Linked DNA regions of Macaca fascicularis. The protein of the gene in region 2 interacts with the protein of the main gene of each other region in a biochemical or structural test. Links are inferred from orthologs where the notes say so. Each region holds a gene or a part of one and is shown on either strand. Other genes may lie near its edges.

What was found. The genes of interacting proteins can lie anywhere in the genome.
Region 1: the proteins of CUL4A (region 2) and DDB2 form a complex in vitro, tested with the Homo sapiens proteins (2 studies listed by BioGRID, with this or other methods). The link is inferred for Macaca fascicularis from reciprocal best matches to the Homo sapiens genes CUL4A and DDB2.

The regions. Positions count from the first base shown.
Region 1 is NC_088388.1:18,611,724-18,615,372, forward strand, and holds part of DDB2 (DNA damage-binding protein 2), read right to left. Parts: intron 2,028-3,649; coding exon 1,882-2,027; intron 279-1,881; coding exon 179-278; intron 95-178; coding exon 1-94.
Region 2 is NC_088391.1:103,655,804-103,659,452, reverse strand, and holds part of CUL4A (cullin-4A), read right to left. Parts: intron 2,474-3,649; coding exon 2,355-2,473; intron 1-2,354. UniProt on the Homo sapiens protein: Core component of multiple cullin-RING-based E3 ubiquitin-protein ligase complexes which mediate the ubiquitination of target proteins. As a scaffold protein may contribute to catalysis through positioning of the substrate and the ubiquitin-conjugating enzyme.

The DNA.
Region 1 (3,649 bases), on a different chromosome or scaffold from region 2:
TTTGATCTACGGAGGCTGTGGCCAGGAACCAATCACAGCATGGGTTCAGGGCCACATGCGTCACTTTCTTTTTGTGCATTCTGAGATTCCAAAGCTGCAGAGAAGAGCTCGGTTCAGGTGGGGACACAGAACCGAGGCGGGGATGAGGGAGGGAAAGGCAGGACCTGGGAGAACGCACCTCTTTGCCGTCCATGTTCAGCAGGATCACGTTCCCCACGTTGTCTCCTGTGACCACCATTCGGCTACTGGCGGACACATCCAGGCTACAAAACCAGATGCTGGAGGGAAAGACTGTGTTGTAAGATTCTTGGGGACAGAGATAGGCCTGTTTACTCACTGTTGCTGCTCCAGTGACTAACCCACAGTGGGCATTCAATAAATATTTGTTGAATGAATGAATAACTGTCTTGCTGTGGATTCCTAGCGAGGAACATTCAGACTGCTCTACCGTCCAGACAGAGGGAATGGGGTAATGGGGCTCAGAAATCTGTCTGGTTACTGCTGGGCCCAGGATCCCCAGCTCCTAAGAGTCTCTGAAGCAGACAAAGCTCAAACCATAAAGCAAGCCTCAGGGCACGCCCGCCCCCACACCCCGGGTTCTAAGCAATCCTCCTTTACTGCTCTCTCCTTTCACTCTCCACCCTTTGGGCCAAAGGAGACACAAGCCAAACAGGGATTGCCTGGCTCTGTTCCTCAGAGCTGGCTGGAAAGGCACTTCTGCCCCCTTCTGAACACTGAGGGAAAAACACACAACCAGGAGCTCTTCTGGTCCCTCAAACCACTGGACTGGGAGGCTGACTAGGGGTGCTTCAGGGATCCTGCTATCCAGCCAGAGGAGCTCAGCTCAGTTTTTCTCTCAAACCCTCAAATCCATGCTACACTGACTTTTGCCATCCCTTATGAATATCTTCAAGCAAGAAGATTTCTTGCGGAAAACGAGCCTGGAGCCTCGTCTATCCAATCACCTGCTGAATTGCGCATGCACTCCTCATCCCTGCAGGACAGCCCAGGATCCCATCCAATGCTAGTTACACCCCAGCACCCTCACTTAATTCCTCAGGGAGCAGTCAGAGTCCCGGCTCTAGCTGGAAATCAAAGTGACGAGCATTTTGTAATTTTTTTTTTTTTTTTGGAGATGGAATTTCACTCTTGTTGCCCAGGCTGGAGTGCAGTGGCGCAATCTTGGCTCACTGCAACCTCTGCCTCCTGGGTTCAAGCTACTCTCTTGTTTCAGCCTCCCAAGTAGCTGGGAATTACAGGCACCTACCACCACATCCGGCTCATTTTTTGTATTGTTAGTAGAGATGGGGTTTCACCATGTTGGCCAGGCTGGTCTTGAACTCCTGACCTCAGGTGATCCACCCACCTTGGCCTCCCAAAGTGCTGGGATTACAGGCATGAGCCACCGCACCCAGCTGCATTCTGTAATTTCTCCAGCCACTTTCTCTTGGGAAGTTCAGAGCACTTTATGGACAAGATTCCATCCATGTAAGCTTGCACCCAGGAACGGCTCAGGTCATTACACCACAGCGAGTGCAGGGAATTCAGTCTCAAGTTCTTAGCTGCTGCTCCATTCTCTAGGTGGCTTTCTGGGCCTATGCCATGCTGGCTTATCTAGTGAAGGTCCAGGTCTAGTCTAATACAGGTATGACTTACAGAAGAGCTGAGGCTCCAGAACACCTTCCCAAAGCAGTAACCCACCTGGACCAAAGTGAGGGTGGCCAAGGAACAGTTTGAGAAAGAGAAAGAAGGGCGGAAGGTGGCTGACATCTTTCCTTTCTTCCCTGTGCCAGGTTGGGTTGAGGAAATGGGATCTGGATGCTCTTGCCGGAACTACACCTAAGCTTAGAAGCCCTTTCCCCGCCTAGTTAAACTACTCACTTGATGGTGTCTGAGCTGGCAAAAACTCGTAGAATGTTGCCTTTAAAGTCTTGCAGCCTAGTTGTTCCCTCCATTGAGGAGGCGTAAAACTGGTTGGTATTGAGAGGGTTAAACTTCAGCCCAGTGATGCTCCCTCCAGCTCCAATCTAACACGAGGAAGGAAAAAGCCAGTGAGTGATGATGGGCCTGGCAGTGAGGAACCAGGCCTGGGCACGCGTGCTGCGCTGTCACGGAAGCACCAACGAGCAGTGCGTGGGGCCAGGTCAGCTCGGACACCTAAACACTAGGACGCTCTCCACAGAGCCTTCACTTCTTTTTCTTTTCCCTTGAAATAGGGTCTTTCTCTGTCACTTAGGCTGAAGTGCAGTGGCACGAACACGGCTCACTGCAGCCTCAATCTCCCAGGCTCAAGCGATCCTCCTACCTCAGCCTCCCAAGTAGCTGGGACTACAGGTGCACACACCATGCGCAGTTCATTTTTGTATTTTTTTTTTTTTTTTTTTAAAGATGGGGTTTTGTCATGTTGCCCAGGCTGGTCTTGAACTCTTGAGCTCAAGCGATCTGCCCACCTCAGCCTCCCTAAGTGCTGGCATTACAAGTGCTAATTTTTAAAAAATTGTTGGTAGAGACAGGGTCTCATTGTGGTGCCCAGGCTGGTCTCGAACTCCTGAGCTCAAGTGATCCTCCTACCGTGGCTTCCCAAAGTGCTAAGATTATAGGCATGAGCCACTTTGCCTGGCCCCTTCTTTTCTTTTTCTTCCTTTCTTTCTTTCTCTTTCTTCTTCCCTCCCTCCCTCCCTTTCCTTTTTTTTGTTTTTTTTTTTTTTGAGATGGAGTCCCACTCTGTCACCCAGGCTGGAGTGCAATGGCGTGATCCCGGCTCATTGCAACCTCTGCCTTCCAGGTTCAAGCGATTCTCCTGCCTCAGCCTCCCAAGCAGCTGGGATTACAGGTGCCCACCACCACGCATGGCTAAATTTTGTATTTTTAGAAGAGACAGGGTTTCACCATGTTGGCCAGGCTGGTCTTGAACTCCTGACCTCAGGTGATCCGCCAGCCTCAGCCTCCCAAAGTGCTGGGATTATAGGCGTGAGCCACTAAGTCTGGCCTCCCTTCACTTCTTAAGGCTTTATTTTTACTTTCTTTTTTTTAATTAACATATAGCAAATTTGGGGTATACAGTTCTCTGAATTTTAACATATGTATAGATTTAAATAACCACCACCCAAATCAAAATGCAGAACATTTGCAACAGCCCAAAAACTCCATTGTGCTATCCCATTGCAATCACACCCTCCCCTCGCCCCCAGCCCCTGGCTGATCTGTTCTCCATCACTATTGTTTTGCCCTCATAGAATGTCCAATAGACCAGGCACAGTAATCCCACCACCTGGGAGACTGAGGCGGGGGGACTGCTTGAGGCCAGGAGTTCAAGACCAGCCTGAGCAATATAGGGAGAACCCCCATCTCTACAAAAAAAAAAAAAAAAAAAAAATATATATATATATATACACACACACACACACACACACACACATATATATATAGGCATGGTGGTAGGTGCCTGTGGTTCTAGCTCCTCAGAAGGCTGAGGTGGGAGGATGACGGAACCCTGGAGGTCGAGGCTGCAGTGAGTTGTGATCGCATCACTGCACTCTAGCGTGGGTGACAGAGCAAGATCCTGTCTCTAAAAATAAAATTAAATTAAAAATAGAATTAAAAATAGAATGTCATGTAAATGAATTAGGCAGTATGCAACCTTTTGAGA
Region 2 (3,649 bases):
AATGTTATATTAAACATTCCTAAAAGTGTGTGGCACTAAAAAAGTTAACTATTTGATGACATAAACTACATTTGCTCAAGAGGAACTGAATACAATTATTGGATTTAAAAAATGTGTCTCAATACAATGCACACGTGCACTCACACGTCACACACACACACGAGGTAGCTGGCCGGTGGAAAGATGCCAACAGAAGGCTGGGCGCTGTGGCTCATGCCTGTAATCCCAGCACTTTGGGAGGCCGAGGCGGGTGGATCACGAGGTCCAGAATTCAAGATCAGCCTGGACAATATGGTGAAACCCCGTCTCTACTAAAAATACAAAAATTAGCTGGGTGTGGTGGCGGGAGCCTGTAATCCCAGCTACTCAGGAGGCTGAGGCAGGGTAATGCTTGAACCCAGGAGGCGGAGGTTGCAGTGAGCTGAGATCATGCCACGGCACTCCAGCCTGGATGACAGAGCGAGACTCTGTCTCAAAAAAAAAAAAAAAAAAAAAAAAAAAAAAAAAAAGATGCCAACAGAAAGGGCACAGCTTTACTTTGATAACGGCATGTGGAGTTGAATGGAAACCACTATTTTGTTATAGCATAACTGCTTACTGCTGACACTCAGGGGTGACGGTCACTCACTGATTTTTATTACCCAGACTGGAAATTGCAAAGGTGAACTTTTCCTAGTTTTTTAGCACATATTCTCATCCCCTGAAGACTGTCTCACTGGCAAAAAACCTAAATCTTCAGTAGCTTTATGGCCAATTTAGTGTGACTCAGTTGTAACTTCCAATTCAACGTCGCTGTACAAGACCTTGTGGGGAGAGCTGCTAGGTGTGCCGGCTTTGCATAGCTGGACTGATACGTGACTTGAGGTCTGATTATTCCATAAAGCAGCACGTATGCTTTCATTTATCTTTTTTACTTAATGGAAATCTTATGAGATAATGAAAGTGCTGCATAATAGTAAAAATAGCAAAGCAATCCCAGTATCTTTGTTTTCCATAGTTTCCTCCAATGGCAAGTTTGCAAAACTACAGAACAGTATCTCAACCGGGATACTGACACTGATAACCCCCCAGGTCTTTTTCAGATGGCCCAGTTGACTTGTAACTCATCTGGGTGTGCACATCTAGACCTCGGCCAAAACCCCAACAGTTCCTGCAGAAGGCTACCTCCTGGGGCCTTTTATAACCACACACCCCGCTCCATCCCTACACCCCGGTAACTTTTCATCTGTCCTCCATTTCCAAATTTTGCCATTTCCAGAATGTTATGCAATAACATGTTAAGTATCTGCGATTGGCTTTTTTTTTTTTTTCTCTCAGCGTAATTCTCTGGAAATTTTATCTATCTTTTCATTCTGGGATCTAAGAATAGTCACCAGCAAGCACACACACAGACTCCTGCTAAACGCTCACCATTTAAGCTGGAAAATTCATGCAACTGGCACATACTGAAAACACGAGTTATCTGTGAAGGGGCCCTGATGTTTACCTCAGTTCTCCTGTTTCTGTAAGGGGCATCTGGAGAATGGCTTCTCATTATAGAGGGTCTTCAGTAGGTTTCTTGGGCTGGGCAACACTGGCACTCTGGGCAGGTGATTCTCTGTGGTGAGGGCTGCCTCGTGCATTCAGCAGCACCCCGGGGCTGCCCAGCAGAGCAAGCAGTACCCTCTCTGTTCAGACAGCCACAAACGTCTCCACACATCAACAAGTGTCCCCTTGGTGGGGTGGTGCCCTGGGCCGAGAGCCCCTAGTCTTCAGGGAGGTCCTATGTCAGCACCGAGGGGCTGTTCTCCTGGGCAGGACACGTGAAAACTCAGGGTACTGCCCAAGAAGCCACTCTATGACGGGTTAGATTGGGCTTGTCAGGGATGCCAAAGAAATGCTTTCGAAACATGAAAGCGAAAGTTTAAGTAACAAATCCTAAATTTGGTCTGTTAAGAAATAAAGTCTATAAAGCTACCTAATATGCCAAATAGATAATAGTTCTCACTGAGCTAAGGGCATGAGGAGATCTTGTCTGACAAGCAGATTTACAAAAATGATTACTTTCAGAAAAATCATGATTTAGAATTAAACCAATATTTACGCTGATGAAGAAGAGCAAAACTGTTGATCTTTAAGTTATACTTTCTACCTGGATGGTGCTAATCACTGCTGGTGTTATCTTAAAAAGCAAATTCACACTGGTGATGGGGAAGCAGATAGAACACTACCATCCACCCTATCATCTATGATGAAAATGCCAACCGGCCCTCCAGCAGCCCAGTTCCCTTTGTCAGGGCACTGGGTGTTCTCAGGAGGGGCTCTGCTCCCTGCAGGAAACGCCCGCGCCTGCGGCCTCGAAACCCCACCAGTACCTTGATGTACTCGCTCCAGTGCTGCAGCAGCGCCTGCTGCCCGCCCCTAACCCGGCTGAACAGCTGGTACATCTGCGCGAGGTCCGGCACTCTGTTCTCGTCCAGTAAGTGGTCAAGCCCTGAGATGTGCAGTACACGTCAGCAGAGTACAGCATGGGCAGCATTAACAACAATAACTCAACTAGAATACAGCGTGCAGGGTAAGAACGCCAATACACCGCTTAGAAACTGGGCGGCTCTACACATCACTGCCTGTATATGAGAAGGTTGATCTGGTTAAATATCTGAGATGGATCCTATTAGGTGAACCTCATTTTTTCTGAGCATGTTGGAAGATGTATTTACTTCTTCATGTCACTGAAGCCCTCTTATTTCACTAAAGTTAGCAAGTCAGAAAATCCAGTTTACACCAACTATTTAACCTGGGAGGTTCATGTTCCCAATATACTTCTAATTTAGTCCATCAGCCAGACAATGTAAAAGGACAAGCTATCAAATCTAATTTATAGTGGATTAAATTTATTCACACCTAAACTATAAGAGAAAAATATCATCAGATATTTTGAAGTATTTAACACAGCATTTAAAAAAGTTTTCAGTGTTTTAGATTTTTAATGTTTATAAGGGTTTTCTAAAACCATACCTCAATTAGAAAAACTCTCATAGATTTTCTAAATACTTGCTTTATGGTAACTATTGAGAGGCAGCCAGGTTAGAGCACAAAACAGTGAACAGTCATCCAATTCACAAAGTCTCAGATTCTGCCCACAATGGGCCCGATGTCCACACAAATGAGGTGGTTTAAAGATGTGTGCAAACATACGGTGGGGCTATAATTACAATTCTTTTTTTTTTTTTGAGACGGAGTCTCGCTCTGTCGCCCAGGCTGGAGTGCAGTGGCCGGATCTCAGCTCACTGCAAGCTCCGCCTCCCGGGTTCACGCCATTCTCCTGCCTCAGCCTCCCGAGTAACTGGGACTACAGGCGCCGCCACCTCGCCCGGCTAGTTTTTTTTTTTTTTTGTATTTTTTAGTAGAGACGGGGTTTCACCGTGTTAGCCAGGATGGTCTCGATCTCCTGACCTCGTGATCCGCCCGTCTCGGCCTCCCAAAGTGCTGGGATTACAGGCTTGAGCCACCGCACCCGGCCTACAATTCTTACCTAGAGTTCCAAATGTTTATTTCTCTCAGTTACATTCTGATCTACTGACACAAACTTTTTGTACTTTATCTTACTAAAACCCATGTCTTTTTTTTTTTTTTTTTTTTTGAGGCGGAGTCTTGCTCTGTCGCCCAG